Linked DNA regions of Anolis sagrei. The protein of the gene in region 2 purifies or fractionates together with the protein of the main gene of each other region. This does not show direct contact. Links are inferred from orthologs where the notes say so. Each region holds a gene or a part of one and is shown on either strand. Other genes may lie near its edges. The genes, in order: MNT, MAX, TFDP1 and YAF2.

Evidence for each region.
Region 1: the proteins of MAX (region 2) and MNT purify together in Homo sapiens (affinity purification with mass spectrometry; 7 studies listed by BioGRID and IntAct, with this or other methods). This does not show direct contact. The link is inferred for Anolis sagrei from reciprocal best matches to the Homo sapiens genes MAX and MNT.
Region 3: the proteins of MAX (region 2) and TFDP1 purify together in Homo sapiens (affinity purification with mass spectrometry; 5 studies listed by BioGRID and IntAct, with this or other methods). This does not show direct contact. The link is inferred for Anolis sagrei from reciprocal best matches to the Homo sapiens genes MAX and TFDP1.
Region 4: the proteins of MAX (region 2) and YAF2 purify together in Homo sapiens (affinity purification with mass spectrometry; 3 studies listed by BioGRID and IntAct, with this or other methods). This does not show direct contact. The link is inferred for Anolis sagrei from reciprocal best matches to the Homo sapiens genes MAX and YAF2.

The regions. Positions count from the first base shown.
Region 1 is NC_090031.1:25,878,618-25,886,324, forward strand, and holds the start of MNT (max-binding protein MNT), read right to left. Parts: upstream 3,012-7,707; 5' UTR 2,547-3,011; intron 2,536-2,546; exon of another isoform or gene 2,277-2,535; intron 1,791-2,276; 5' UTR 1,737-1,790; coding exon 1,664-1,736; intron 1-1,663. UniProt on the Homo sapiens protein: Binds DNA as a heterodimer with MAX and represses transcription. Binds to the canonical E box sequence 5'-CACGTG-3' and, with higher affinity, to 5'-CACGCG-3'.
Region 2 is NC_090021.1:232,298,959-232,306,559, reverse strand, and holds the start of MAX (protein max), read left to right. Parts: upstream 1-4,582; 5' UTR 4,583-4,861; coding exon 4,862-4,897; intron 4,898-7,601. UniProt on the Homo sapiens protein: Transcription regulator. Forms a sequence-specific DNA-binding protein complex with MYC or MAD which recognizes the core sequence 5'-CAC[GA]TG-3'. The MYC:MAX complex is a transcriptional activator, whereas the MAD:MAX complex is a repressor.
Region 3 is NC_090023.1:108,401,339-108,408,867, reverse strand, and holds the start of TFDP1 (transcription factor Dp-1), read left to right. Parts: upstream 1-4,520; 5' UTR 4,521-4,666; intron 4,667-4,695; exon of another isoform or gene 4,696-4,838; intron 4,839-4,869; exon of another isoform or gene 4,870-4,923; intron 4,924-5,847; exon of another isoform or gene 5,848-5,943; intron 5,944-7,082; 5' UTR 7,083-7,156; coding exon 7,157-7,168; intron 7,169-7,529. UniProt on the Homo sapiens protein: Can stimulate E2F-dependent transcription.
Region 4 is NC_090025.1:136,447,341-136,454,730, reverse strand, and holds the start of YAF2 (YY1-associated factor 2), read left to right. Parts: upstream 1-4,377; 5' UTR 4,378-4,630; coding exon 4,631-4,656; intron 4,657-4,999; coding exon 5,000-5,125; intron 5,126-7,390. UniProt on the Homo sapiens protein: Binds to MYC and inhibits MYC-mediated transactivation. Also binds to MYCN and enhances MYCN-dependent transcriptional activation. Increases calpain 2-mediated proteolysis of YY1 in vitro.

The DNA.
Region 1 (7,707 bases), on a different chromosome or scaffold from region 2:
TACTAATAATATTACAATATAATGGATTGTGTAATATAGTAATATACAATACTGATATTGTACTATGCTAATAATATAATATATTGTATGCAAATATATTTTGTAGGCCACTCTTGAGTCCCCTTCGGGGTGAGAAGGGAGGCATATCCATGCCGTAAATAATTTTTTTTAATATGATATATTAATATATTACTACGGTATATTAACAATATTAATATAATATACAATTATGAACACTATAATAATTAATATAATAATAATCTATTATCAATATCCCTTCACTTCCTATGATGGTTAATATTATGCTGACAGCCAATTGAAATGAAGATAGCGGGGAGGGGGGCATTGCAAAGAAACTGCTAATATTAGTCACATTAAATAGATTTTAATAGATAATATATTATTATGAATATCCCTTCAATGCCTATGAGGGTTATTGTAATGCTGATATTAATATATTTTTTGTGTGTCAGGAGTGACTTGAGAAACTGTATAATAATAGAATATTAAATCCTTATTAATAATAATATATTACATAAAAACAATATCATAATAATAATAATATAATAAATCCTTATTAATAATAATATAATAAAATAACAATATCCTAATAATAATATAATAATAAATCTTTATTAATAATATAATAATATAACATAATATTATCCTAATAATATAATATAAATATCCCTATTATGCTTATTATTGTGCTGACAGCAAACTGAATAGAAGATAGAGGGGAGGGGAGGCATTCCAAAGAAACTGCTAATATTAGTCACATTAAATAGATATTAATATATTATTATGAATATCCCTTCAATGCCTATGATAGTTATTGTTACGTGGAGCGACGTGAAAAACTGCATCATAATATAATAATAAAGAATAGCAAGACTTACAATAATAATATCCTAACAATAATAATATAATATAATAATATTAACATCCCTATTATGTTTATTACTGTGCTGACAAAGAAACTGCTAATATTAGTCACATTAAATAGATATTAATAGATAATATATTATTTATGAATATCCCTTCAATGCCTATGATAGTTATTGTTATGCTGATATTAATATATTTTGTGTGTGTCAGGAGTGACATGAGAAACTGCATAATAATATAGTATAATAATAAAGAGTGGCAAGACTTACAATAATAATATTATAATATAATATGAATATCCCTATTATGGTTATTATTGTGCTGACAGCCAATTGAAATGAAGATAGAGGGGAGGGGAGGCATTCCAAAGAAACTGACAATACAGTCATATGAGTCTTATTAATTAGATCATAGAATCTTAGAGTTGGAAGAGACCTGGTGGGCCATCCAGTCCAACCCCATTCTGCCAAGAAGCAGGAATATTGCATTCAAATCACCCCTGACAGATGGCCATCCAGCCCCTGTTTTGCAATGTGATTAATTAGGCATTCATCACCATCAGACAAGGGTGGGAATGGCATTTGCAAGTGATGACGTCATGGGACTCCCCCAAAGCTCTTTCTCTCTCTCTCCCAATCCAATTTGAACAATATAATAATAATGAGATTGGGGGAGAAGGTGGAGAAGTGCTCCCCATTTAGGCAGAAGGGAAAAAAGAGGTGCAACCCCTCCCCCCGCATCTGATCCGGGTTGACTCCGGAGTGACTCCACTTACCACGTGCTTTCTGTTGTTGCTGCGCTTGCCATTCCAGGAACCGGGCCGCTTCTAGCAAGGTCTCAATGCTCATTTCTCGGGGTGGGAGTCCCAAAAGGAGGAGCAGGAGCAGGAGGGTGGGGGCAGTCTGAGGATCCCAAAATATATATATATAAGGAAAAATATATAAATATATAGATAGATAGGTATATCTCTCTGTCTCGAATGTGCAAAGAAGGGCTTGGCTTGTTCTGCCAAAGAGGGTCCCTATTGCTGCTGCTGCTGCTGTTGTGGTTCTTCTGGAGGGGAGAGAGCACACCAATCCGGGCTGAAGCCAAGCCTTTTTGGCCCCTTCCGGCCCCCGTTTCCGCGGCCCCCTCCCACCCGACCAGAAGAAGGCTTTGTAACAAGATGGCGATGCGTAACAGAAACACAACAAGAGAGAGAGAGAGAGAGAGGGAGAGACACGGCCCTCTGCTACTATCCCCGCGGGGGGAAGCAAAACCCGGACTGGACTCCTCTCTTAATGGAATTCGAGCCGCGCCAGCCGTTGATGCTTTGAGCGCTCACTCAGGCAACACATGAGGCTGATCCAATTGGTTCAATGTGTCGCCTCGCGCCGCTGTTTCCTCACCTCCCGTCGCTTTGGTTTAAATCACCCATTCCGGGGAGTTCCACCTCCGGGTTTTGCCCCCGATCCTCCCCCCCGCACTGCGTCCGCGTGCTGCTCAATGACGTCACCCGCTCCCTGGCCAATGGCGTGACAGGACAACAAGGCATGGAGCAGCTCCACATGGGCACTCTCCGCCGCGGGCCCCCGCCGGCGCCTCTCTTAAAGGGACAGGACACCTCAAGTCGCGCCCTGGTTCTCTTCCCTTCCCTTGCCTTCTTTTGTTCTACTTACTTCGCTGCTTAGGCTCCTCCTCCTTCGCTTCGTCCTTCTGGCCTTATTTGCATGAAGCCCCTCAAGCCCCGCCCGCTTTCCCTCCTCAAGTGTGAGGAGTGTGAGGCAAGGCTTAGCTCCTCCCCCTGCTGGTGTGAGGAAATGCGGCCTCCTTGGCTTGAAGCGCCTCAAGCCACGCCCTCTTTTCCTCAGCGCGTGCTTGTCTTGTGCTCCGCCCAACCGCCTCGCGCTCTTCCCCCTCCTGATTGGCGGAAATGCGGCCTCATTTGCATGAAGCCTCTCAAGCCACGCCCTCTTTTCCTCAGCGCGTGCTTGTCTTGTGCTCCGCCCAACCGCCTCGCGCTCTTTCCAATCCTGATTGGCGGAAGTGCAGCCTCATTTGCATGAAGCCTCTCAAGCCACGCCCTCTTTTCATCAGACGCAGGGCTGATGTGCTCTGCCCACTCTCCTTGCGCCTCTCCCCCTGCTGATTGGAGGAAGGTGTGGGCTTATTTGCATGAAGCCCCCTCAAGCCACGCCCTTTTTTTCTTCTTTTCCTCTCAGACGCAGGGCTTATTTTATGCTCCGTCCACTCTCCTTGCGCTCTTCCCCCTGCTGATTGGAGGAAGTGCTCTCTCATTTGCATGAAGCGCCCTCTTTTCCACTCAGGCTTGTGCTCCGCCCAACCGCCTCGCGCTCTTCCCCCTGCTGATTGGAGGAAGTGCGGCCTCATTTGCATGAAGCCCCTCAAGCCACGCCCTTTTTTCCTCAGCGCGTGCTTGTCTTATGCTCCGCCCAACCGCCTCGTGCTCTTTCCAATCCTGATTGGCGGAAGTGCAGCCTTATTTGCATGAAGCCCCTCAAGCCACGCCCTCTTTTCATCAGACGCAGGGCTTATCTTATGCTCCGCCCACTCTCCTTGGCCCCTCCCCTGCTGATTGGAGGAAGTGCTACGCCCTCTTTTCAAGCTGCACCCTTTTCCACTCAGCGCGTGCTTGTCTAATGCCCCGCCCAACCGCCTCGCGTTCTTCCCCCTGCTGATTGGAGGAAGTGCGGCCTCATCTGCATGAAGCTCCCTCAAGCCACGCCCTCTTTTCCACTCAGACTCAGGGCTTACCTTATGCTCCGCCCACTCTCCTTGCGCCCCTCCCCCTGCTGATTGGAGGAAGTGCTAGCACCCTCAAGCCCTGCCGATGGAGGACCTTCTTGCGGCAACCCCAGAGGCACTCCAAGTGGCCAGATACTGGTCAAAGGACATTTAACCAAATACCAAATTTGCAAAATCTGTATGGTTTTTTTTTTTCTTTCTTTCTTCTTTTTCCTTTTCTTTTTAATCTCTGTGTTTGTTTTGCTCTGTTAGAATTGTAATACAATGGTTGCTGATGACACGATAAATAAATTCCCCCCAGAGCGTGGCGAGTGGGAGGCGGGGCTTGTCTTATGCCCCGCCCACCTCGCTCTATTCCCCCTGCTGATTTGAGGAAGAGCGGTCTCATTTGCATGAAGCCCCTCAAGCCACGCCCTCTTTTCCTCAGACGCTGGGTTTATCTTATGCTCCGCCCACCCGCCTCTTCCCTCTACTGATTTGAGGAAATGCTATCTCATTTGCATGAAGTGCCCTCAAGCCCCGCCCTCTTTCCCTCAGAGCATGCTTGCCTTATGCCCCGCCCACCCGCCGCTCCCTCTTCCCTCTACTGATTTGAGGAAATGCTATCTCGTTTGCATGAAGCACCCTCAAGCCCCGCCCTTTCCTTCAGTGTGTGCTGAGTAGGAAGCAGGGCTTGTCTTATGCTCCGCCCACGCGCCTCTCCCCCCTACTGATTTGAGGAAGTGCTGCCTCATTTGCATGAAGCCCCTCAAGCCACGCCCTCTTTCCCCAGAGCGTGCTGAGTAGGACGCAGGTCTTATCTTATTGTAGGAACTGAGACCTCATTTGCATGAAGCCCTTCAAGCCCCGCCTTCCTTCCCCAGAGCGTGCTGAGTGGGAGGCGGGGCTTGAATCGTGCCCCGCCCACTCGCCTCGCGCGAGGCAAGGGTGGAGCCATCTGGGACAATCTGTCTAGTCATGGCCGGGTGGGAAGTCAGGAGGCAGCAGGCGCTCTTAAAGGGGCCGCGCCCTATTTCCCTTCCTTAAAGGAGCCGCGCCCTATTTCCGGAGGGAGGGGGGAAGGAGTAAACACGTGAATCCGGAATGCGTGATAAGGACGGGGGGGGGGGGAAGGAATGTGTGCAGCAAAACAGGAAAGGCGGTTTTTGTTGAGTGTGGGTTGCCTCCTGTGGCGTCAGATGAGATCACAGGCAAAACAGTCCAGATCCCAATTGCCTTTGCAGGAAAAAAAGGCAAGTCGAATCCGGATTGCTGGAGAGAATTTGGGAAAGAAAACTAGTAATCACATTTGCCGTTATAATTGCAAAAATAATCTACATAACTAATAAAATAAGCACAATAGTAATAATTACAATAATTACAATAAGAATTGCAGTAATAATTCCAATAAGAATTGCAATAATAATAAGAATTCCAATAAGAATTGCAATAATAATTCCAATAATAAGAATTGCAATAATAATTACAATAAGAATTGCAATAATTACCAGAATAAGAATTGCAATATTTACAGTAAGAATTACAATAATAAGAATTGCAGTAATAATTACAATAACACTTGCAACAATTACTATAAGCATTTCAATAATAATTGCAACAATAATTGAAAAATATTTACAATAAGAATTGCAATTGTAATTGTACTAAGCACAATGACGATAATAGTAATAATATTCGCTACAAGAGTAGTAAGGGCCATACTGTCATAAGATATACTGCTGGCATTATAAACTGGACGCAGGCAGAACTGGACAATTTGGACAGAAAAACAAGAAAACTCATGACCATTCATAATTCACTATATCATCGCAGTGATGTTGACTGGCTCTATCTGCGGGCAGAGGACTTTTACAAGTAAAGCAAGCCGTTGAAGAAGAAAAACACGATGCCCTGGTAGAATATGTCAAGGAAAACCAAGAGCTTGCTTTAATTGAAGTCAATAATCGGAAACTTCTTAAAGCACAGCAGACAAAGAGTCAGTACAAGAAAACTGCACTCCAAACCAGAACTGACAGCTGGCACAACAAAGCCTTACATGGGCAGTTTCTTGACAAAATTGAAGGAAAAGTTAATAAGGAGAAGACCTGGTGATGGCTTACAAATGGAACCCTGAAGAAGGAGACAGAAGGCCTGATTCTTGCAGCTGAGGAGCAAGCCATCAGAACCAATGCCATTAAGTTGAGGATCGAAAAATGCAGACTGTGCAAGGAAGCAGATGAAACCATGGACCATCTCCTCAGCTGCTGCAAGAAAATCGCACAGATGGACTGCAAGCAGAGGCACAACTCTGTGGTCCAGATGATTCACTGGAACTTATGTCACAAGGACCACCTGCCAGCAGTCAAGAATTGGTGGGATCATAAACTTTCAAAGGTCGTGGAAAATGAACATGCAAAAATACTGTGGGACTTTTGAATCCAGACTGACAAAATTTTGGAACGCAACACGTCAGACATCACAATAGTGGAAAAGAAAAAAGTTTGGATTATTGATGTTGCCATACCGGGTGATAGCCGCATTGAGGAAAAACAACAGGAGAAACTCAGCCGTTATCAAGACCTCAAAATCGAACTGCAAAGGCTCTGACATACACCAGTACAGGTGGTCCCAGTGGTCATTGGCGCACTGGGTGCCGTGCCAAAAGATCTCAGCCGGCATTTGGAAACAATAAACATCAACAAAATCATGATCTGTCAACTGCAAAAGGCCACCTGACTTGGATTTATTTATTTATTTGGTTTACTTTTACCCCGCCCTTCTCACCCCGAAGGGGACTCAGGGCGGCTTACACATCCAAGGCACAATTCGATGCCCATAGCATACATCAATAATAAGCAATAAAACAAAATAACAAATTAGCAAACAACAACAACAACAATACATTGCATCTAAACCCGTTAAAACCAATAAAACCAATAAAATTTCATACAAACCGATACAAACCGCTTCTTCCTTCTTGCCAGTCAGTGTTCGCTATCTCATGGTTCAGAGTTTTCTTCCACATTTATCAGTCCACATATATCAGTCCTGCCGGTCCTAATTGCCTGGTTGTCCTATCTAGTTAGCAGATTGCCCGAAGGCCTGGTCCCACAACCACGTCTTTGCCTTTCTCCTAAAGGACAGGAGTGATGTCGATGCCCTGATATCCACTGGGAGTGAGTTCCACAGGTGGGGGGCCACCACTAAGAAGGCCCTGCTCCTCGTCCCCACCAGCCTTGCTTGGGAAAGCGGTGGAGTCGAGAGCAGGGCCCCCTCAGATGATCTTAAATTCTGTGGTGGGATGTAGAGGGAGATATGTTCGGACAGATACGCTGGACCGGAACCGTACAGGGTTTTGTAGGTCAAGACCAGCACCTTGAATTGGGCTCGGAACTGAACCGGCAGCCAGTGGAGCTGACACAGCAGAGGGGTGGTATGCTCTCTGTATGTCGCCCCAGTGAGCAGCCTGGCTGCCGCTCGCTGGACCAGTTGAAGTTTCCGAACCGTCTTCAAGGGCAACCCCACGTAGAGCGCGTTGCAGTAGTCTATTCGGGATGTAACAAGAGCGTGGACCACTGTGGCCAGATCAGACTTCCCAAGGAACGGGCGCAACTGGTGCACAAGTTTTAATTGTGCAAAAGCTCTCCCAGCCACCGCTGAGACCTGGGGTTCCAGGCTCAGCGATGAGTCCAGGATCACTCCCAAGCTGCGAACCTGCGTCTTCAGGGGGAGTGTAACCCCGTCTAACACAGGCTGTAACCCTATTCCCTGTTCGGCCTTACGACTGACCAATAGGACCTCTGTCTTGTCTGGATTCAATTTCAATTTGTTAGCCCTCATCCAGTCCGATACAGCAGCCAAACACCGATTCAAGGTCTGGACAGCCTCCTTGGTGACAGGTGAGAAGGAGTGACAGATCTGGACATCATCTGCATAGAGATAACATCTCAGTCCGAAACTCCGAATGATCTCCCCCAGCGGCTTCATGTAGATGTTAAACAACATTGGGGACAGAATTGAACCCTGTGGGACTCCACATGACAACGGCTGTGGGGCCGAACAGGTGTCACCCAGTAACACCTTCTGGGACCGTCC
Region 2 (7,601 bases):
TGGAAGGGGATGAATGAAAAGAGAAAAAGGGATGGGAGAGGGAAAAAGAAGGGAGGGAAGAGGGGAAAGGGATGGCTCTCCTTCTCTTTCTGCTTTTGGTGCACGCAGAGCTTAGCTCTCCTGCTTTTGGATACTTCAACCCAGGCTTGCTTCCAAATCAAGGGAGGGAAAGGGCTCATGGCTGGAAGGAAGGAAAGGGGGAAGAGAAGCCTTGTCGCTTTACCTTGCTGGGTGGGCAGAGGAACCTCCTTCTTTCTGCAAACACACACACACTTTGCTCCAGATCCTCTTTCTCTCTCTTCTCTCTTCCTTATTCTCCCCCACGCGCTATCTCTTCTTCCTTCTCCTCCTCCCTCTTTTAGTTCTGACAGCTCTGCAGCAACTTGCACTTCTGGCTTTCTTCTTCTCCTTCTCTTCTAACCCAAGCAAGGATAATGAGAGGCATAGAATCCTAGAAACGCAAGAGACCCCCTCCCTTAAGAGGCTATCCAGTCCAGCCCCATTCTGTTAGGCCGGAAGGCACAAGCCAAGCCCTCCCAACACAGAGCCACCCAGCTCCAGATGAGATTCTGGAGATCGTTGACCAATATCAGTGTTCAGAAAACTCTGGTTTTCCAGTGCTGCCATTCCTATGCTTAAATATGGGATTCTAGAAATGGTTAATATACAGTATACGAGAGTGTTCCCAACTTTTGTCTTCCAGGTGTTTTGGATTTCAAATATTTATTTATTTATCGTGTCATCAGCAACCATTGTTTTACAATTCTAACAGAGCAAAACAAACACAGAGATTAAAATGAAAAAGAAAAGAAAAAAGAAAAAAAAACCACACAGATTTTGTAAATTTGGTATTTGGTTAAATGTCCTTTGACCAGTATCAAATATGTTTTGGTGCTTAATTTGTAAAATCATAATGTAATTTGACACTTAATAAGCTTTTGCTTGATCCCTCCATATTATCCAACATTTTCGCTTATCCAACGTTCTGCCGGTCCGTTTATGTTGGATAAGTGAGACTCTACTGTATATCAAATACCATCTGGTCCAATCCATCAAACACTGTTTTGTTTGATCTGTCTTAAATCTGTCTTAAATTTTTGCCTGTGTGAGTTCTTTAGCTTGACATTTTGCATATCTAAAGAAGGTAATGCCCTGTTTATTGCCCTGCTTCTCTCCTTAGGATTCAGTTTGATGAATGTTTTCTTTGTTCTGTTTATGTGAGCCTTTTCCTGTGTATGTGTGCGAGTTTCTCATGGCTAAATTCTTCTAACATTGAAGAAACTGAGTTTATTTATCTAGCCCTTTTTTTCTATACTAAGTGCAAGGACCAGGCTGTGGCACAGCTAGTTAGTAGCCAGCTGCATTAAATCACTACTGAATGAGAAGTCATGAGGTCGAAGCCAGCCTGGGTCAGAGTAAGCTCCCGACCATTAATAGTCTAGCTTGTTGTTGACCAATGTAGCCTAAAAGACAGTTGCATCTGTCAAGTAGGAAATTTGGGTACTGCTTTATGAGGGGAGGCTAATTCAACTAATTTACGATGCCATAAAATCTTCCAGCAGTGTGCAGAATAATGAGGAAGTACTTCATCAAAGGACTCAGTGTCACAAGTGGACGGTGAAGTGGCAGCTCCCCTGTGGCTGGAACCGAGCATACCCTCATGAAGCCAGAAAAGCTGGAAATGTTAAATTGCCTCTGTGTCTGTCTATTTATGTTTATTATTATTATTATTATTATTATTATTATTATTATTATTATTAAACTTTATTTATACCCCTCCACCATCTCCCCAATGGGGACTCGGTCCAGCTTACATGAGGCCAAGCCCAGAAATGCATTACAACAAAATAAAGCCAAAAACAAACAAACAAACAAACAAACATCACAATAAAACAAATAAAACATAAAAATACAATAAAATAATACAAAAATACAGTAATAGATAAATCACAATCACAGTGAGTGGGCCATATGTACAAGTTAAAATGATAAAAACTCAGGATGAGATAGAAATTAAATGCAAATAATTGTGAAGGAGAAACTCATTGGAAAATGGAGTAATGGAGACAGACCTTCAAACAGGCAGGGGGAAGTACAGTGTGGGGACAGACATTATGGGGGAGCAAACAAAAGGAGATGTAGGGTCACTCTCCAAAAGCGCAGCAGAAAAGCCAGGTTTTGAGATCCTTCTTGAAGGCTGCCTAATCTTACCCAGAGTAGTGGGGCCACGGAGGAGATGGCTCTCTCCGTCATTCCCATAAGCCAGGCCTGTGAGAGAGGAAGGGCGAAAGGAGGGCCTCTCCCGAAGATCAAAGAGAGCGGGCTGGTTTGTGGAAGGAGGTAGGTGGGTTCCAAACTGTTTAGGGCTTTATAGGTGATCACCTGTACCTTAAATTGGGACCGGAAAATAAACGGCAGCCAATGGAGCTCCTTAATGGCATTAGAATCATAGAGTTGGAAGAGACCTCATGGGCTATGGTCCAACCCCCTGCCAAAAAGCAGGAAAACTGCATTCAAAGCACCCCTGACAGATGGCCATCCAGCCTGTTTAAAAGCCTCCAAATAAGGAGCCTCCACCACACTCCAGGGCAGAGAGTTCCACTGCTGAACGGCTCTCACAGGAAGTTCTTCCTCATGTTCAGATGGAATCTCCTCTCTTGCAGTTTGAAGCCATTGTTCCATGTCCTAGTCTCCAGGGAAGCAGAAAACAAGCTTGCTCCCTCCTCCCTGTGACTTCCTCTCACATATTTATACATGGCTATCATATCTCCTCTCAGCCTTCTCTTCTTCAGGCTAAACATGCCCAGCTCTTTAAGCCGCTCCTCACAGGGCTTGTTCCTCAGAACCTTGATCATTTTAGTCGCCCTCCTCTGGACACATTCCAGCTTGTCAATATCTCCCTTCAATTGTGGTGCCCAGAATTGGACACAATATTCCAGGTGTGGTCTAACCAAGGCAGAACAGGAGCATAGTGTCTAGATCCAGGGAAGTCATGATACACCCCTTAGCATGACTTCCCTGGATCTAGACACTATGCTCCTATTGATGCAGGCCAAAATCCCATTGGCATTGGATGTTTGCCATGTATATGTGCATTGCATTCCATCTTGAGTCCCCTGTGGGGTGAGAAGGATGAAATATAAATACTGTAAATAAATAAATATACTATTGCTATTTATTAATCAAATTAAATTAGATTCAAATGAGGTCCTCGTCCTTGTCCCCTTCACTCAGGCCCGTAGCCAGGATTTCGATTCGGGGGGGGGGGGGGCTGAGTTTGTTTCGGGGGGGGGGCTGAGTCTGAGTGAAAGAGGGTCTACCCTAGCAAACCTTTTGTATAGTTACTCCAATACCCCCATGCATATGGGATATATTGAGCATGGTGATCAGATCATGATATGAATAAACATAACAGTTTAAATAATGCACGAGTAAGGCCTTTTCGCGAACCACCATGAGAATTTCGGGGAGGGGGGGTGTGAAGCCCCTCAAGCCCTGGCTACATGCCTGCCTTCACTACAACTCTCATGATTTCAATGGATTGATCCATAGCAATTAAATTGGAGTGAAACTACACTTCTTCCACTGTGTAGACCAGGGGTCCTCAAACTAAGGCCAGGGGCCAGATACAGCCCTCCAAGGTCATTTACCCGGCACTGGCTTAGGGTCAACCTAAGTCTGAAATGACTTGAAAGCACACAACAACACCAATCCTATCTCATCAGCCAAAAGCAGGTCCACACTTCCCGATGAAATACTAATAAGTTTATATTTGTTAAAATTGTTCTTCATTTTAATTATTGTATTGTTTTTTAAGTGTTTTTTGTATTACAAATAAGATATGTGCAGTGTGCATAGGAAAGCATGAATGCTTTTTTCAAATTATAATCCAGCAGCTTGAGGGACTGTGACCTGGACCTCTGTTTAAAAAGTTTGAGGACCCCTACTGTAAATAAATATACTATTGATTAATCAAATTAATCAATTGATTAATTGATTAATCAAATTAATTGAGGTTCAAATGAAATCCTCGTCCTTGTCCCCTTCACTACAATTCTCATGTTTTCAATGGATGGAGCCATAGCAATTAAATTGGGAGTGAAACTACGCTTATTCCACTGTGTAGACGCTCCTCAAGTGGTTTCTAAACGTGACACGTCGTGCTGTGTTGTTGTTTGTGCCCCTTATTCTCTTTGACTACAAACAGCCAGGGTCGGGTTACATAATCGGCACAGCTTCCTTCCCTCTTCGAATCTCTCTCCTGGCTCTTTAAAAGAACGAGAAAAACACCGTCCAGAAGCGAAAGGGGGGAGGTGGTTAAAAGCGTCCCCTTCCGGCTTCCATCCACGTGTCCTCTTCCTCAGCCTGCCGGGAAGCAGAGCCCTTCCTCTTTCGCTCAGGAACTCCGTTTCCTATCAGCGACCGCTGAGCCAAGGCGCATGCGCGCGCGGCGGCATCCAACGCCCGCCCCCGCCCAAGAGGCTCTCGGGAAGGGTAGTTCAGAGCGGCGTGCTCTCGCGGGCGCTGTGCTGGCGGAAGGACTTCATCCCCCGGCATGCTTTGCTGAGTCGTTGGATGTATCTGTGGTAAAAGAAGGGAGAAAAAAAGAGGGGGGGCATTCGTCACGTGCGGCGCGAGGTGCGTGTTCCGTTGATGCTGGTGAGGGAAGAGGAGGAGACGACGACGACGACGGAGGAAGAGGAAGGAGGAGGAGAAGAGACGGCGACGCTGTTGCTGCCAGGGGCCTGTTGTCGTCGCCGACGCCGTCGCTGTCGCTGCTCCTCTCCGCGGCGGCTCGGCCCAGCAAGGCCCCGGAGGAGACCCCGCCGCCGCCGCCACCACCACCGCCACCGTGGGCAGCATGAGCGACAACGATGACATCGAGGTGGAGAGCGACGTGAGTTTCCACCGTCCCGCAGAGAGGCTGCTGACAGTAGTGGCGCCTCGGCCCCTCTCTCGTTCGCCCTGCCTCACAGCCAAAGGTTCAGTCTGCGCGACGCCTCTCTGCCTTCCCTTCGCTTCAATGGGGCCCCTCAGGAAGGGAGAAGCCCCCCCCCAGTAGGCCCCCCGGGGTGAGGGAGGGAGGGAGGGCCTGCTCGCCCCCGGAAGTAGTAAAGGGGAGGGAGGCGGGGTCAGTTGTGTCTGGGAGGAAGGAGGTTGGAATCGAGGTAGGCCTGGGACGTGTTTGGGTAACTGGTGGGAGAGGGGAGGGGGATGAGGAGGGAAGGAGTTGGGGGGAGTTACGATGGGGAGTTGGGGACAGTGGGCAGCTGGATTCGAAGTCTTGTGCCTTTCTAAATACTCCTAGGATTTGGGATTTTGAGTACATGTTTGGCTAGACGTGGGTGGGATTATGTACAGTGGCATAGTAAGAAAATGGCAAAATAAAGGTTTGAAATTGGAATACTGTTCAGTATGCGTTGGCTGGGGGTGGGTGGGTAAGAGGAAAGGAGATGGGAAGGATGTTGCATTGTGCATTTTGTTTGTGTTTAATTTTTTTAAAAAATTGTTTTATATTGGTCTGGTGTATTATTCTTGGGCTTCTCCTCATGTTACCCACCCCGAGTCCCCATTGGGGAGATGCTGGCAGGTGTAAATAATATTTTATTTATTTATTTATTTGGTAGTTTTGTATACCGGTCTTCTCACCTCCATTCGAGGGACTCGGGGCCATTTCCAACATCAATATTACAGACCGCCATTAAAACATAATATTTCTAAATCACACTAAAACATTAAAATATTGAAACAATTAAAATGACAAAAATACAATCATATGATTACAGTGGTTAGTCGTCATCAAAGTCATTATTCGTCGTCATCCATCCATATCACAGGATCACGGCTCATTCATTGAATGCCAATCCCCAAAGCCAGGTTTTCACCTGTTTCCTGAGTGTTAAGATCGAAGGGGCAGTTCTGATCTCCAGTGGAAGGGAGTTCCAGAGTCAAGGGGCCAACACCGAGAAGGCCCTGTCTCTCGTCCCCACCAGCCGCGCCTGTGAGGCCGGTGGGATCGAGAGCAGTGCCCCTCCAGAAGATCTTAGTAATCTTGATAGCTCATAGGGGAGGATTCGTTCGGACAGGTAAATTGGGCCGTATAAAACTTTTATACCCCAGTCTTCTCAACCTCTACAGAGGGACTTGGGCCGGCTTACAGCATAAATTAGTACACAAATACAATTAAAAACATAATCACATCAAAAAGTTAAATACAACAGAATAAATTCACAAACCAAGTCGCCAAGATAAAATAAAATAAACTTTATTTCTATACCGTCGTATCTCCCCGAGGGGACTCAGGGCGGTTTACAACAGAAGATTGGCAAACATTCAATGCCGGCATAACATAAACAAATCAAATCAAATCATAAACAATAAAATAAACAACATCAGGTGTACTTATAGAACAACTCAAAAATAACAAACTTAGATATTTAAATATATAAATCAAACATTTAGAACATGTTTACTACTAGATCTAATGATAGCAAACACTCAAACATTATAAGTAAAAAAGGCATTTACAAGTCAACAGGGCTGAGGTGGTGTCCAAGTCAGAGTGATTAAGGTGCTGGCCAGGGCTGAGGTGGTGTCCAAGTCAGAGTGATTAAGGTGCTGGCCAAAGAAAACTCTTATTATTAATGAGATGGAGGGGATTGATAAGGGGGGTGGCTCTTCTGGACTCTTGGGCCAGTTCTTAAACACGCTTCTGGAATGAGCTTCGTGTATTCCAAGTAGACTGGAACGTACTTAGTCCAAATCTTTTTGATACTGGTTTTAAACCACTTAATTGGATGTGTTGCAATAGCAGATTTCCAGGTTAGTTTAGTGTTTACACCTTATTTTATTTTCTGGTTATTTAATGTTTATTTTGCTTAAGTGATATTTGTCTTTACTGTTCTAATGTAGCTCAAATCCTATATAAAATCATAGTATGTATTTTTGACATTAATATTGAAATCTGAAATATATACAGAAAGTGTTGTCTCTTTGCAAGTACAGTGGAGTCTTGATTATCCAACCTTCGCTCATCCAAAGTTCTGTATTATCCAATACAGTCTGCCTGTTTCAATACATTGCAATGTTTTGGTGCTAAATTCATAAATACAGTAATTACTACCTAACGTTACCATGTATTAAACTGCTTTTTCTGTCATTTGTTGTAAAACATGATGTTTTGGTGCTTAATTTATAAAATCATAGCACAATTTGATGTTTAATAGGCTTTTTCTTAATCCCTCCATATTATCCAACATTATCCAGTGTTCTGTCATCCCGTTTGTGTTGGATAAGCAGATTCTACGATCCTTTATTTACCAGCTGCTGTCCGTTGAACAATTTGAAGCTTCTTGGTAATTTTTGGGATTTGGTTCCAGGACTCTCATTGATACCAATATCTGTGAATGCTCATATTCCATTATATAGAGTAAGATTGTATTATCGTGGTTCTTAAGTAAAAATACTTTATTTCTAACCTGCCCTCTCTCCTGGGGGGGACAGGACTCAGGGTGGTTAGTAACAAAAATGGCAGACATTCACTGCCTAAAACAGACAAACAACAAGTCAAGACAAAAATAATAAATAAAACAATCTCAGCA
Region 3 (7,529 bases), on a different chromosome or scaffold from region 2:
CTTCATCTAAGTCATTAATAAAGATGTTGAACAGGACCGGGCCCAGGACGGAACCCTGGGGCACTCCGCTCATCACTTCTTTCCAAGATGAAGAGGAAGCATTAGTGAGCACTCTGCGTTCGTCCACTTAACCAATTACAGATCCACCTCACCGTAGTTTTGCCTAGCCCACATTGGACTAGTTTCCTTGCCAGAAGGTCATGGGGGACCTTGTCGAAGGCCTTACTGAAATCCAGGTACGCTACATCCACGGCATTCCCCGCATCTACCCAGCTTGTAACTCTATCGAAGAAAGAGATCAGATTAGTCTGGCATGACTTGTTTTTGATAAATCCATGTTGACTATTAGCGATGACTGCATTTGTTTCTAAGTGTTTGCAGACCGCTTCCTTAACAATCTTTTCCAGAATCTTGCCCGGTATCGACGTGAGGCTGACCGGACGGTAGTTGTTTGGGTCATCCTTTTTTCCCTTCTTGAAGATTGGGACCACATTGGCCCTCCACCAATCTGCTGGAACTTCTCCCATTCTCCAAGAACTCTCAAAGATGGTTGTCAATGGTTCCGAAATGACTTCTGCTAGTTCCTTCAATACTCTGGGGTGTAGTTGATCTGGCCCTGGGGACTTGAACTCATTAAGAGTGGCCAGGTATTTCTGGACGACTTCTTTCCCAATTTGGGGTTGGATGTCCTCCAATCCCTCATCCACTCCATCTTGCTGAGGTTGAAGACTCTCTTTTTGTGAGAAGACCGCGGCAAAGAAGGTATTAAATAGTTCTGCCTTTTCCCTATCCCCTGTCAGCATTGCCCCATCTTCTCCTCGAAGAGGTCCTATCACCTCCTTGTTTTTCCTTTTTATTGTTTTTAATGTCCCTGGCAAGTCTGAGCTCGTTTTTTGCTTTAGCCTTGCGGACCTTTTCCCTACAGGTGTTGGCTATTTGTTTGAATTCTTCTTTGGTGATTTCTCCCTTTTTCCACTTCTTGTGCATGTCTCTTTTGTGTCTTAGCACAGTTAGAAGTTCTTTGGACATCTATTCTGGCTTCTTTGCACTTGTCCTATTTTTTCTCTTTGTTGGCACGGTTTGCAATTGCGCCTTGAGTATTTCACTCTTGAGAAATTCCCATCCATCCGTAACTCCCTTGTCTTTTAGTATCTGTGTCCACGGAATGCTGCTCAGCGTTTCCTTCATTTTTTGGAAATCAGCTCTCCTAAAGTCCAAAATGCGGGTTTGACTTGTCTTAGTTTCGGCCTTCCTTTGTACCTCAAATTGCAGGAGCACATGGTCACTTGCCCCTAAGGATCCTACCACTTCGACCGCATCGATCAGGTCCTCCGCATTTGTTAGGATGAGATCAAGAGTAGCCAATCCCCTTGTTGCCTCTTCTACCTTCTGGACCATGAAATTGTCTGCAAGGCAAGCGAGGAATTTGTTGGACCTTGTACTCTTGGCTGAGTTTGTTTTCCAGCAAATATCGGGATAGTTGAAATCGCCCATGGCTACTACATCTCTTCTCTGTGCCTGTTTGGTCAACTGTTGGCAGAAGACTTCATCAAGTTCTTCCTCCTGGCTTGGGGGTCTGTAGTAGACGCCTACAACGACATCTTTTTGAGTCCCAGTTCCCTTGATTCTTATCCAGATGATTTCAAGCTGGTTTCCCAGATTGCTGTCTTGAATCTTCTGCAGCATAAGAGTTTTTGACATATAAGGCTACTCCGCCTCCTCTCCCCTTCATTCGGTTTCTGTGAAAGAGGTTAAACCCCTCGATATCTACATTCCAGCTATAGGAGTCATCCCACCAGGTTTCAGTGATCCCTATGATATCATATTTGTGGTGTTGTGCTAAACGTTGGAGTTTGTCTTGTTTATTTCCCATGCTCTGTGCATTAGTGTAAAGACATGTGAGCCCCTGAGATCTTCCCTTGAGCTGTTTAATTGGGATTATTGTGCTTTTGGTACTTGGTCCTTGTTGTGTTTGTGCAGCCCTCCGTTTAGCCTTCTGGCGATTCCCAGACATTATGGGTAAAGTAGTGTTCGCAAGTGGCTTCTGGTGTGAGCCCCCGGTGGCACAGTGGGTTAAACCCCTGTGCCGGCAGAACTGAAGATAGCAGGTTTGAATCCGGGGAGAGGCGGATGAGCTCCCTCTATCAGCTCCAGCTCCTCATGCGGGGACATGAGGGAAGCCTCCCACAAGGATGATAAAACATCAAATCATCCGGGCGTCCCCTGGGCAACGTCCTTGCAGACGGCCAATTCTCTCACACCAGAAGCGATAAGCCAAGGTGACCATGTTGGGATTCATACATTGGGTACATGAGAAGACATGACTCAGTAGAAAAGATAATCATGCTTGGTAAGGTAAAAGGCAGCAGGAAAAAAGGAAGACTGCGTTACAGGTGGACAGATTCAATGAAGATGTTTATGTAAGATTTGAGTAGGGCCCTTGATGGTCAGAGATGTGGATGTGTCCCATTTATGAAGCTGCCATAACTCAAACTTGACTTGATGGCAGTTAACAAGAAATGATTTAAGGGTTTGCATTATTTTCAACTTCTAATACGGTAAGTAAAGTTATATGCCTGCTTAAACAAATGAATTAATAAAACAATATATTTAAGCCGATTAAGAATTAAAGCAGGTGAACCTTTCCAACATTCAACCAAACTGTAGAGGTTTGTTATTCAAGTAGAAGGGTAAGAATGTTATTTTAGGTACCAAGGAATCCAAAAGCATTGATCCCCTGCATGACATCATAGCCTACCAGTTATGCTTGCAATAGCCTCTTTAATGGCTTTATTGGATTTAAATATGCTTTTTAATAGTTCTTTATTTTAATGTTTATGTGCTTTTGGCATTAGTCTGCATTTTGTTTGTTATTTTTTTAGTGTTTGCTGCTTTGAGTTTCCTTGGAGGGAAAAAAGCAGGACTTAAATACTTATTATTTTTATTGAGGTTGCCTGGCCCTAGGTGCCTGTTTTTTTCCATGTACTAAATATTGATTCCTGCATAGCATGCTTTTTTTTTTTTCAAATTACAGCCCTGCCCCCACATCTGCAGGTACTTTATTTGCAGATTTGATTTAAACCTCGCTAGGATTTTCTAGGTCAGGCATGGGCAAACTTTGGCCCTCCAGGTGTTTTGGACGTCAACTCCCACAATTCCTAACAGCCTACCGGCTGGGTTGCCATGAGTTTTCTGGGCTGTATATGGCCATGTTCCAGAAGCATTCTCTGCTGCATCTATAGCAGGCATCCTCAGAGGTTGTGAGATCTGTTGGGAACTATGCAAGTGAGGTTTATATATCTGTGGAACGTCTAGAGTGGGGAAAAAACTCTTGTCTGCTTGAGGCAGGTGTGAATGTTGCAATTGGCCACTTTGATTAGCACCGAAAGTCCTTGCAGCTTCAAAGCCCGGCTGGTTGCTGCCTGGGGGAATCCTTTGTTGGCAGGTGTTAGCTGGCCCTGATTGATTGTGCCGGCTATTAGGAATTGTGGGAGTTGGAAGTCCAAAACACCTGGAGGGGTGAAGTTTGCCATGCCTGTTCTAGGTCCTCCAGTTCGAGTTTATGATCATCATTCGCAAGACATCTGGCCATACAGCCACGTGGGAAGACCGTGGGTGCATACACACTGTAGTATTAATGCGGTTTGACACCACTTTTAATTGCTATGCCCCAATGCCATGGAAACATGGTGATGGGGCATGCACTTTGCATGTTCTGCGACTTACAGTCCTATATAGCGTTTATAAAATCTTATAAACTACATCTCCTTCAATGGGAGCGGTAGTTTCACAAGGTCTTCTGGCTTCAGAGAAGGCTGAGGAGACATGAGAATATGAGAGGAAGTCATAGGGAGGAGAAATATGTCCAGAGGGCGACTAAAATGGTCAAGGGTCTGGAGAACAAGCCCTATGAGGAGCGGCTTAAGGAGCTGGGCATGTTTAGCCTGAAGAGAAGGCTGAGAGGAGACATGATAGCCATGTATAAATATGTGAGAGGAAGCCACAGGGAGGAGGGAGCAAGCTTGTTTTCTGCTTCCCTGGAGACTAGGACGCGGAACAATGGCTTCAAACTACAAGAAAGGAGATTCCATCTGGACATGAAGAATTTCCTGACTGTGAGAGCTGTTCATCAGTGGAACTCTCTGCCCCGGAGTGTGGAGGCTCCTTCTTTGGAGGCTTTTAAGCAGAGGCTGGATGGCCGTCTGTCGGGGCTGCTTTGAATGCGATTCTCCTGCTTCTTAGCAGGGGATTGGACTGGATGCCCCACGAGGTCTCTTCCAACTTCAGTATTCTATGATTCCCTGGTTCAAAGAGCGCCGGCGCCTCGCCAAAACTCCAGCTCCCCGGATGACAGGCCTTGAGTCTCGCGAGGGCGGCGCGCGGCGCGAGGCCCCACTGCCACCCTCGAGAGCCAGCTGGCTCTCGCGCTCTTTCTTGGCCTTCCCGCGCGCGCACTTCCCCGGGAGAAAGGGAGGCGTGGTGGAATCCCGAAGGCGCGAAAACTTTGCGCATGCGCTTCCCCTCCCTCCTAAACGTATGGCGCTGAAGGGATGGAAGCAGAAGGAGAGAGGGAGGGAACTTTAATCTCCCCGCGTGTGGCTATGTGGGGCACGTTCCACTCCGTGACGTCAGCGCGCAGCGTCACGCCGGAGGGACGCACGAAAGTGTAAGTTTCAATTCTCCCCCCCCCTCTTTCTCCCGTCTTCCTGCCAACTGCCAAAAAAAAAAAAGGAAAGGCAGTAACGGCAGCGGGGTCGCGCGCAGGAAAAGGGGAGGGCGCGCGCGCTGCCCAGAAGCCCTCCCTTCATGGAGGAGGAGGAGGAGGGAGCGGGAAACAGGTGTGAAAACAGGGGGAGGGGGAGGAGGGAGGGGGCAGGGCGAAGAGAAGGAGGAGGAGGAAGAGGAGCCAAGGTGGTGCTGGTGGTGAGGAGGCGCTGGGCTTTGGCGGGGGATGATGGCGCTTGTGGGAAGAGGGAGGCCTGCCTCGCGTGTTTGTGGGGGTCCCTTCTCTGCCCCCCCCCCTCCCCACCAACTTCAGGAACTGTTATGAGGCAGCACTGTGCTTTGTATTATCATGGCTTGAATCACTGGGTTGCTGTAAGTTTTGTGGGCTGTATGGCCATGTTCCAGAAGCATTCTCTCCTGACGTTTCGCCTGCATCTATAGATGCAGGCGAAACGTCAGGAGAGAATGCTTCTGGAACATGGCCATACAGCCCAGAAAACCTACAGCAACCCAGCACTGTGCTTGTATCTCAGGGAACCAATGCAGACCTGGACAGCATGAAGGACCTGCCAATTTTGAGTGGAGGGACTGATTCCCTTGTAGCCCCATCCTCTCCCCCTGAATGAAGACTTGCAAGCTGTGGCAGGAGGCATATGCAAGGGAGTCCACACTTTGATCCAAGTCAACACTTTCACCCTCCCCCTAAATGCACCCCTTCCTTGGCTTTCCTTTCCTGACCACTTTTTGGAGTTCCTTCTGGGGAAAAAAACAGGCGCAAAAGATCAGGGTTACTTTTTTCTGTGTTTTTGAGATATATTTTTTCTCCTAATGGTTGGCCCGCCTTTTCTTATCAGGGCCAGTGCAATTGCTACGGTGGCAGAGGCCTCCCTCCTTGCCTGCCTGCCTGCCTGCCTGCCTGCCTGCCTGCCTTCCTTCCTTCCTTCCTTCCTTCCTTCCTTCCTTCCTTCCTTCCTTCCTTCCTTCCTTCCCTCTTCCTCCTAATTTCTCCCCCTCTTTGCCACTTTGTCTTGTGTGCAAATGGTGGTGTTGCTGCTGCTTCCCTGATCATCTTCCTCCCCACAGCCCGCCCCCCGAGGGGGTTTTGAGGAGGGCCGTGCATTGCACATGTGCAGTTGGCATCTCTGGCTCTCTCTCTCTCTCTTCCCCTGCGTTGGGGGATGGAGTTTGCTCTCGGATTCTCCTCTTCTGGTTCTTCAGGTACTCTTTTGGGAAAGAGGCAGAAGGGGGCAGCCAGGTGGGGGGAAAGCCTTTGAGGCAGGAAGAAAACAGCTTCCTCCTTCCCCTTTTCTCTCTTTCTTCTTCCCCCACCGCCTTGCCTTCCCTTCCCCCTTCCCTTCAGTGGGGGTGAGCTTGGTGCATGGGTGGCCCTCCTTCTCCCTGCCTGTCTGCCCCTCTCTCTCTTTCAGTTGTACTGCTGGGCTAGACTTCTAGGGCTCTCCCTCCCTCTCTTTCTGAGGCCCGGGGGGAGGCTGGCAGGGCTTGTTCTCTGAAGCACAGATGCTGCAGCCTGCCTGCCTTTTTGCACAGGGAACTGGGAGCACTAGCTTCCCTCCCTTTTCCCTTACGCCATATCATCGAAGGGACTGGACTGGGCCTTGCTTGCATGTTGGAGGTTGGGTTTTGTTTTGAGCTGGCAAAGAGTGCTGCTAAAGGGAGTTGGGCCCCTGAGGCCTAGCAACTAGGTTGTGAATGGTCAGGCACATAGCTTAGTCTTCCCCTCCTTGCCCACTTCAGGGCAGGCCAGGTCTGTTTGTGCATGAAGTATAATTGTGCTTCTCAAGGGGGTCTAATGCAGAGCTGGACATGACTTAGGCCTCCATCTACACTGCACATTTAATCCAATTTCAAATAGGTGTTGAAAAAAGTGATTACAGAAGAAATCCAGGAACTAGCTTGAGGCCTGGATGGTGAGGACACAAACCACAGAGCACTGATATGCATTGAGGGTTTGCTTTTGCATGCTTTTGTGTGAGTTTGAACTTCATTAAATGGTTAGTGTAGACGGGGCCTATGCTGCATCTGCACTAAGCTTCCTCTTGCCCACTTCAGCGTGGGACATGCGTGAGCCATAATGTAGAGCTGGACAGGTTTAATCTCCCTCACCACCCAAAAAGGAGGAAATCCTCTTCTGTCAGTTTGAGTTGTATTATGTTCTCAAAAGAAAGATGCAATATTCTTTTTTAAAAAAACAGAGCTTGTCAAAAATCTGAAGGTTTCAAGCTTTTACTTTAAGCCTGCACTTTGAACTCTTTGGCAGAAAAACCTAATTTTAATTATTTCAACTCTAAATTGATTTTCAGTATGCTAGCTTAATTTTTTTTCTTTTCTTCTTTCAGAATATAGAACTGCTTCTTCTGTTTATCCTGTGGCAACAACGCAAGTAAAGAATTGATTTCTTGGACTTGATAACATGGCAAAAGATGTAAGTATGTCTGTTTATAATGATCCTACAAACCCACATGTTAACACAAGGACTAACAAATAATAGGAATTCACTTTGATCCTATAGATGTGCATTGAATCAACAGTAAGTATTCAATAAAGTAGTTGTAGCCTTGAATCTTGCAGTGACATCTCCAGGGTTTAATAATACGGGTCTGTTCTGTGCTACACAACTAGTCATAGGTGTCAAAGAGATTCCTAGAACATATGGCAGTACTACTCTTACCTTGACTAAAATTACTTTATTATATCATGTATAACAGGTTGTAATCTCTACTAGCGCAACATCTCTGGGAATATATTGCTGTGTATTAGTAGTGGTATTAATTGACATTATTTGG
Region 4 (7,390 bases), on a different chromosome or scaffold from region 2:
CATTACAACACGGACAATAAACAGATATCCCAAATAATGGGCATCAGTCGGTACAGGTTGAGTGTCCCTTAACCAAAATATTTGGAACTGGAAGTGTTTTGGATCTGATTTTAGATGGTGGGATGTCTGTATTTGCAGATTTGTACATAATGACATATCTTGGAGAAGGGACCCAAGTCGAAACAAGAAATGCATATAGCCTGAATGCACTCTTTTATAGTAATTTTTGTGTGAAGCAATGTTTATGTAAATTGAAGCATTAGAAGCCCTAGTGTGGATCCAGCCTCATGTGGACAATTTTAGATTTGGGAGTATTTCAGATTTCCAAAGTCCGGATAAAGGATGACCAACCTGAACTGATTCTGGTGCCTCCACCTTGCTAGTGGAGTGGGCTGAGTTTATAGCAGTAACAAGCTGTCGGTACTTCAAAAATTTATTTCCAGTTACTGACTCCAATTCCATTTTACTCGAACAACCGGAGGGCTTTCACAGAACATCTTATGACTTCCTACACAAGACACCTCTCAATAGTGGAGACTGGTCATGACGTCCAATCTATTATTTATTTATTTATTTATTTATTTATTTATGCGCTTGTATACCGCTAATATCTCAGCCTAAGTCGGCGACTCATTGCGGTTTACAACAACTAAAAAGTTAAAAACAATTAAAAAACAGTATTCAATTTAAAACATGAAACACATATCTATATGTAAGATAAATCACTCATTCTATATTCTTAAGACTGCAGAAACTATACTTGCAATGGAGTGGACTGAGTGTGTAGCAGCTATGCTTAATCGACAGTAAGAAACTGTAGGTCACACACTTTTTAGACATGCATCACTTCATGACTAGGAAAGTGGAAGTTAAACCAACGCCTTATAAAAGATATAGACATATATATCACTTGTAGTGAAACATGAAAACTTTTCATTTATATTTTTTAAAAATTACTGATTTATTGCTAATTCCACATTGACCACGTGGTTTCTTGTTACCTTCATGCCACACAACTACACACTGCAGCTGATATACTAATGTGTCGCGACACTTAGTTTGAAAGTTCTGCTGTATGTACTTTAGAAATGTATTCCCACTAACTCCAAACCCATTTCACATTAACCAGTGCTTGGATTTCACAGTATACCTCATGGCTTCTTCAGTGGTGGACACTGGTCATGACCTCCAATCAGACATCCTCTCAACGCAGCCAAAGCCAAGCTTTCTAAGGTTTGAGCCACCCTAGGACTTCTTAACCTTTTCGGACCCCTTTCTGCCTGAAAAGAGTTTGTATGACCCAAGGTATATATACAGATAAAACAGGTATACAAAGCAAACATTTACTGATAACCAGCATTTGCAAGGCTTGCTAAACAGGCTGATTTTCCATTTTTATGAAGCACAGCTAAAGCATTTCTTGCAGAGTCCACTGTAAACATTGTAGGTTATTAACTGATTTGTGTAAATGGACAGATTCAAAAACCTTTCACAGTTGCCAAATTTTTCATGATCCCGACATCGAGTTGAAAGGAGACTCCATTTGAGGTTGGGACGCAGTTTACAAAGCAGTGATTTGCACTGTTGGATAACGCAGTCCAAAGTCCAGTATATGCTCAGTGTAGCTCTAGCCCAAGCCTCACTATGGGCCCTTCTACATAGCTGTATAAAATCCAGATTATCTGCTTTGAACTGGATTATCTGGCAGTGTAGACTCAGATAATCCAGTTCAAAGCAGATAACCTGGATGATCTGTCTTGATATTCTGGATTATAAGGCAGTGTAGAAGGGCCCTGAGTGTACTAATAGGAAACAAGACAGTGCTTGTCTGTGTGGGCCCATTCCACACAGCTGAATAAAATCCCACATTTTCTGCATTGGATGAGCTCCCTCTGTCAGCTCCAGCTCCCCATGTAGGTACATGAAAGAAGCCTCCCACAAAGATGGTAAAACATCAAAATATCAGGGCATCTCCTGGGCAACATCCTTGCAGATGGGCAAATTCTCCCACACCAGGAGCGATTTGCAATTTCTCAAGTTGTTCCTGATACACACACAAAAGAAAAAACAAACAAACTCAAAACTATGGGGATCTTCATTGCCAGTGTCTGCTTTGAACTGGATTTTCTGAGTCCACACTGCCATACATTCCTGTCCAAAGCAGAAAATGTGGGGTTTTATTCTGCTGTGTGGAAGGGGCCTGGGTTATGTCTGTGGGCCCTGCCACACAGCCTCATATCCTAGAATATCAAGGCAAAAAATCCCACATTATCTGATAACCCAGTTCAAAGCAGATATTGCGAGATTTCCTGCCTTGAGATGAAGGTTTTAATCCGGATTGGTGACAGATGAGGCCAGGCCCGTAGCCAGGATTTTGTTTGGGGGGGGGGGGCTGAGTTTGTTTGGGGGGGGGTGCTGAGTCTGAGTGAAAGAGGGTCTACCCTAGCAAACATTTTGTATCGTTACCCCAATACCCCAATGCATATGGGACATACTGAGCATGGTGATCAGATCATGATATGAATAAACATAACAGTTTAAATAATGCACCAGTAAGGCCTTCTTGCGGACCACCATGAGAATTTGGGGGGGGGGGGGGGCTGAAGCCCCCCAAGCCCCCCCCCCTGCTACATGCCTAAATGAAGCCCATTTAAGACCCCTTCTACACTTCCCTATATACCATAATCCAATCCCCGATTATTATTTGCTTTTGACTGAGGGTCCTTCCACAAAGCATGAAATCCCACAATATCTACTCTGACCTGGGTTATCAGATAATGTGGGATTTTTTGCCTTGATATTCTAGGATATGAGGCTGTGTGGCAGGACCCACAGACATATAAACCAGGCACCTTCCACACAGCAGAATAAAATCCCACATTTTCTGCTTTGGACACTCAGGTAATGTGGGATTTTCTGCCTTGATATTCTGGGATGTAGGGCTCCGTGGAAGGGCCCTGGGTTATCTGAGTCCACACTCATATAATGTGGGATTTTCTGCCCTGATACTCTGGGATACAGGGCTCTGTGGAAGGGCCCTGGGTTATCTAAGTCCACACTTATATAACGTGGGATTTTCTGCCTTGATATTCTGGGATACAGGGCTGAGTGGAAGGGCCCTGGGGTATCTGAGTCCACACTCATATAACGTGGGATTTTCTGCCTTGATATTCTGGGGTGTAGGGCTCTGTGGAAGGGTCCTGGGTTATCTAATTCCATGCTCATATAATGTGGGATTTTCTGCCTTGATATTCTGGGGTGTAGGGCTCTGTGGAAGGGCCCTGGGTTATCTGAGTGGGATTTTATATAACGTGGGATTTTCTGCCCTGATATTCTGAGATACAGGTCTGTATGAAATGGCCCTGGGCCTACATCCCATATCATATCCTAGAATATCAAGGCAAAAAATCCCACATTGTCTGATAACCCAGTTCAAAGTAGATATTGTGGGATTTCCTGCTTTGTGGAAGGACCCTCAGTCAAATGCTCCACACTCATATAATGTGGGATTTTCTGCCCTGATATTCTGGGATACAGGTCTGTATGGAAGGGCCCTGGGTTATATGAGTCCACACTCATATAATGTGGGATTTTCTGCCTTGATATTCTGGGATTTAGGGCTGTGTGGAAGGGCCCTGGGTTATCTGAGTCCATGGTCATAAAATGTGGGATTTTCTGCCTTGACATTCTGGGATGTAGGGCTCCGTGGAAGGGCCCTGGATTATCTGAGTCCACACTCGTATAATGTGGGATTTTCTGTCTTGACATTCTGGGATGTAGGGCTGCATGGAAGGGCCCTGGGTTATCTAGGGGCCTTTCCACACAGCCGTATAAACGAGAATATCTAGGCAAAAAATCCCACAATATCTGCTTTGAACCGTGTTTCCACACTACCATATATTCCAGTTGAAAGCAGAAAATGTGGTGTTTTATTCAGCTGTGTGGAAGGGGCCTAAGTCCACACTGAGGTAATGTGGAAGGATCCCCCAAGGATCCTAAGAGGGCAGTGTGGAAAGAGGCCTGAGGCTGCGGCCTTCCCTGCCTAAAATGAAAGGCGAAGGGGAGGGGGAATGGCGCTGGTGTCACGGCCGAGGCCTGTGTGGAGAGACAGAAAGAGAGAGAGTGGGAGGGAGAGGGGGGGAGAGAGAGAGAGTCGGCGCAATAGTCGCCCTTCGAAGCCATTCCCCTTCGTGAGTGTGTGTGGTGGTGTGTGTGTGCGCGCGAGGGGCCCCTCCGGCTGCCTCCCCTTGCGCCGTGCTCGCGCCGTGCGCCTGTCTCGCGAGCGGGGATCCCTCTCCGGCTGCCCCCGCCGTCGCCTGGGCCTCGGCCTGGTTGGCGACCGGGGAACACGTGAGGGAGGCGGCGGGCGGGCAGGCAGGCGGGCGGGCGGGCTGCGGGAAGAAGGAGAGGGAGGAGAAGGCGAGGCGGCGGCCGGAGTTCCCCCAACAGCTGGAGGTGGCCGCTCGCTCCAAGTTGTTGTGTCGGCCGCGGCTCCTCCTCTTTCTGCTCCCCTTGCTCGCTTCCCCTCAGCAGCAGCAGCCGCCTCCTCCTCCTCCTCTTCTCGCTCCTCCTTATTGACAAATACACAAAGGGCCGCAGCCGCCGGGCTGGAGACGCGTCTGGAGCCGGCATGGGAGACAAGAAGAGCCCCACAAGGTGAGCCTGCGAGGAGGGCGGCCAGGGGGTTGTTCTCGTGAGGGGCTTCTTCCTCGTCGCCCTCTCTCCCGCCTCCTCTTGTGGCGCGATGGCGGGGAGGCGAAAAGGGACGAGGAAAGGAGAGGAAGCCTGATCACTAGGCCAAGCGAGAGGAGGAGAAGGAGAAAGAGGAGGAGGAGGCACCGGCGGAATAGGTCTCCTCGGGTCGCTTACAAAAGCCTCCCGGTGCCTCTCTCTCTCTCCTTCCCCCGCTCGCTCTCCCCTCCTTATCCTTCCTCCCCTTTTCCCCTCCTCCTTATCCTCCCCCTCTTTCTCTCTCTTTTTATTTCCCGATTCTTTTTAGGCCGAAGCGGCAGCCGAAACCCTCCTCCGACGAGGGCTACTGGGACTGCAGCGTCTGCACCTTCCGCAACAGCGCCGAGGCCTTCAAGTGCATGATGTGCGATGTGAGGAAGGGCACCTCCACCCGGTGAGTGAGCGAGAGGAGACACACACACACACACACACAGCGAGGGAGAGGCCTGAGTGAGTGGCACCGCAGCCCTCCTCCAGCAGAACGGGAGGGAATGGCGGCGAAGGGAGGGAAAGGCCCAAGGAGGCTGCAGGGAGAGCAGAGAGAGAAGGAAGGGAGGAAGGATGGCGGGGAAGGGACAGCAGAGCCGGCCACCATCGCAGCCTTGCTCCTGATCGCCGCCTTTTCTCGGCAAGGGTGACAGGAGGGAGTGGAAGGGATTCCTTTCGCAGGGCCCTTGCACACAGCCCTATAACACAAGAATATCGTGGCAGAAAATACCACAATATCTGCTTTGAAGTGGGTTAACTGAGTCCAATTCAAAGCAGAAAATGTGGGATTTTCTGCCTTGATGTTCTGAGTTATAAGGGCCCTCAGACAACCCAGTTCAAAGCAGATATTATGGGATTTCCTGCCTTGATATTCTGGGTTCTATGGCTGTGTGGAAGGGCCCTCAGATAACTCAGTTCAAAGCAGATATTGTGGGATATTTGGCATTGATATTCTGGTTTTTGTGACTATGTAGAAGGACCTTCAGATAACCCAGTTCAAAGTAGGTATTGTGGAATTTCCTGCCTTGATATTCTAGGTTCTATAGCTGTGTTGAAGGGCCCTCAGATAACCCAGTTCAAAGCAGATATTTTGTGGAACTTCCTGCCTTGATATTCCGGGATATAGGACTGTGGAAGGGCCCTCAGATAACCCAGTTCAAAGCAGATATTGTGGAATTTCCTGCCTTGATATTCTGGGTTCTATGGCTGTGTGGAAGGACCCTCAGATAACTCAGTTCAAGGCAGATATTGTGGGATATTTGGCATTGATATTCTGGGTTTTCTGACTATGTAGAAGGACCTTCAGATAACCCAGCACAAAGTAGATATTGTGGAATTTCCTGCCTTGATATTCTAGGTTCTATAGCTGTGTAGAAGGGCCCTCAGATAACCCAGTTCAAGGCAGATATTGTGGAATTTCCTGCCTTGATATTCTGGGGCCCCTTCCACATAGCTGTATAAAATCCCAAATTTTCTGCTTTGAACTGGAATATATGGCAGTGTGGACTCAGGACCCTTCCATACAGCCCTATATCCCAGAATATCAAGGCAGAAAAATCTCACAATATCTGCTTTGAACTGGGTTATCTGAGGACCCTTCTGCACAGCCCTATATCCCAGAATATCAAGGCAGAAAACCCCACATTATCTGAATGTGGACTCAGATAACCCAGTTCAAAGTAGATATTATAGGATTTTTGGCCTTGATATTCTGGGGTTCTATGGCTGTGTAGAAGGGCCCTTAGATAACCCAGTTCAAGGTAGATATTGTGGAATTTCCTGCCTTGATATTCTGGGGCCCCTTCCACATAGCTGTATAAAATCCCACATTTTCTGCTTTGAACTGGAATATATGGCAGTGTGGACTCGGGACCCTTCCACACAGCCCTATATCCCAGAATATCAAGGCAGAAAATCCCACCTTATCTGAGTGAGGACTCAGATAACCCATTTAAAAGCAGATATTGTGGAATTTCCTGCTTTGATATTCAGGGATATAGGGCTGTGTGGAAGGGTCCTCCAATAACCCAGGATCCATCCACACAGCCCTATATCCCAGAATGTCATGGCAGAAAATCCCACATTATCTGAGTTTGGATTTAGATAGCCCAGTTCAAAGCAGATATTGTGGGATTATCTGGCCTCCAATAACCCAGGGCCCTTCCACACAGCTTTATATCCTAGAGTATAAAGGCGGAAATATCCGCTTTGAACTGGGTTATCTGAATTCACACTGCCATATATTCCAGTTCAAAGCAGAAAACGTGAGATTCTCTGCCTTGATATCTGGGTTATATTGCTGTGTGGAAGGGACCTGGGATACATATTAAGCATCTCTTATCCAGGATTATGAAACACAGTAGACTCTCTAGGGATTGGTAGACACTGGATATAAGTGTCCTTTCCCATTGCTTCAGGGTTACTGTTAAAAATAGGCCCAACTGAAATCTATGCCTCATACTATACCGTGTCATATGCTCTGTACAGGCAGTCCTCAAGTTACGAACATGATCAGTTCTGTAGGTTTGTTCTTAAGTTAGATTTGTATGTAAGTCAAATAATAATAGTAATAATAATGGAATACCATGTATCAGTTTCTTTCCAAATGAATAACTTAACTTCCACATGTTATTTACAATATTGCTGTATAAAACATGGTTTCTATTGTTTT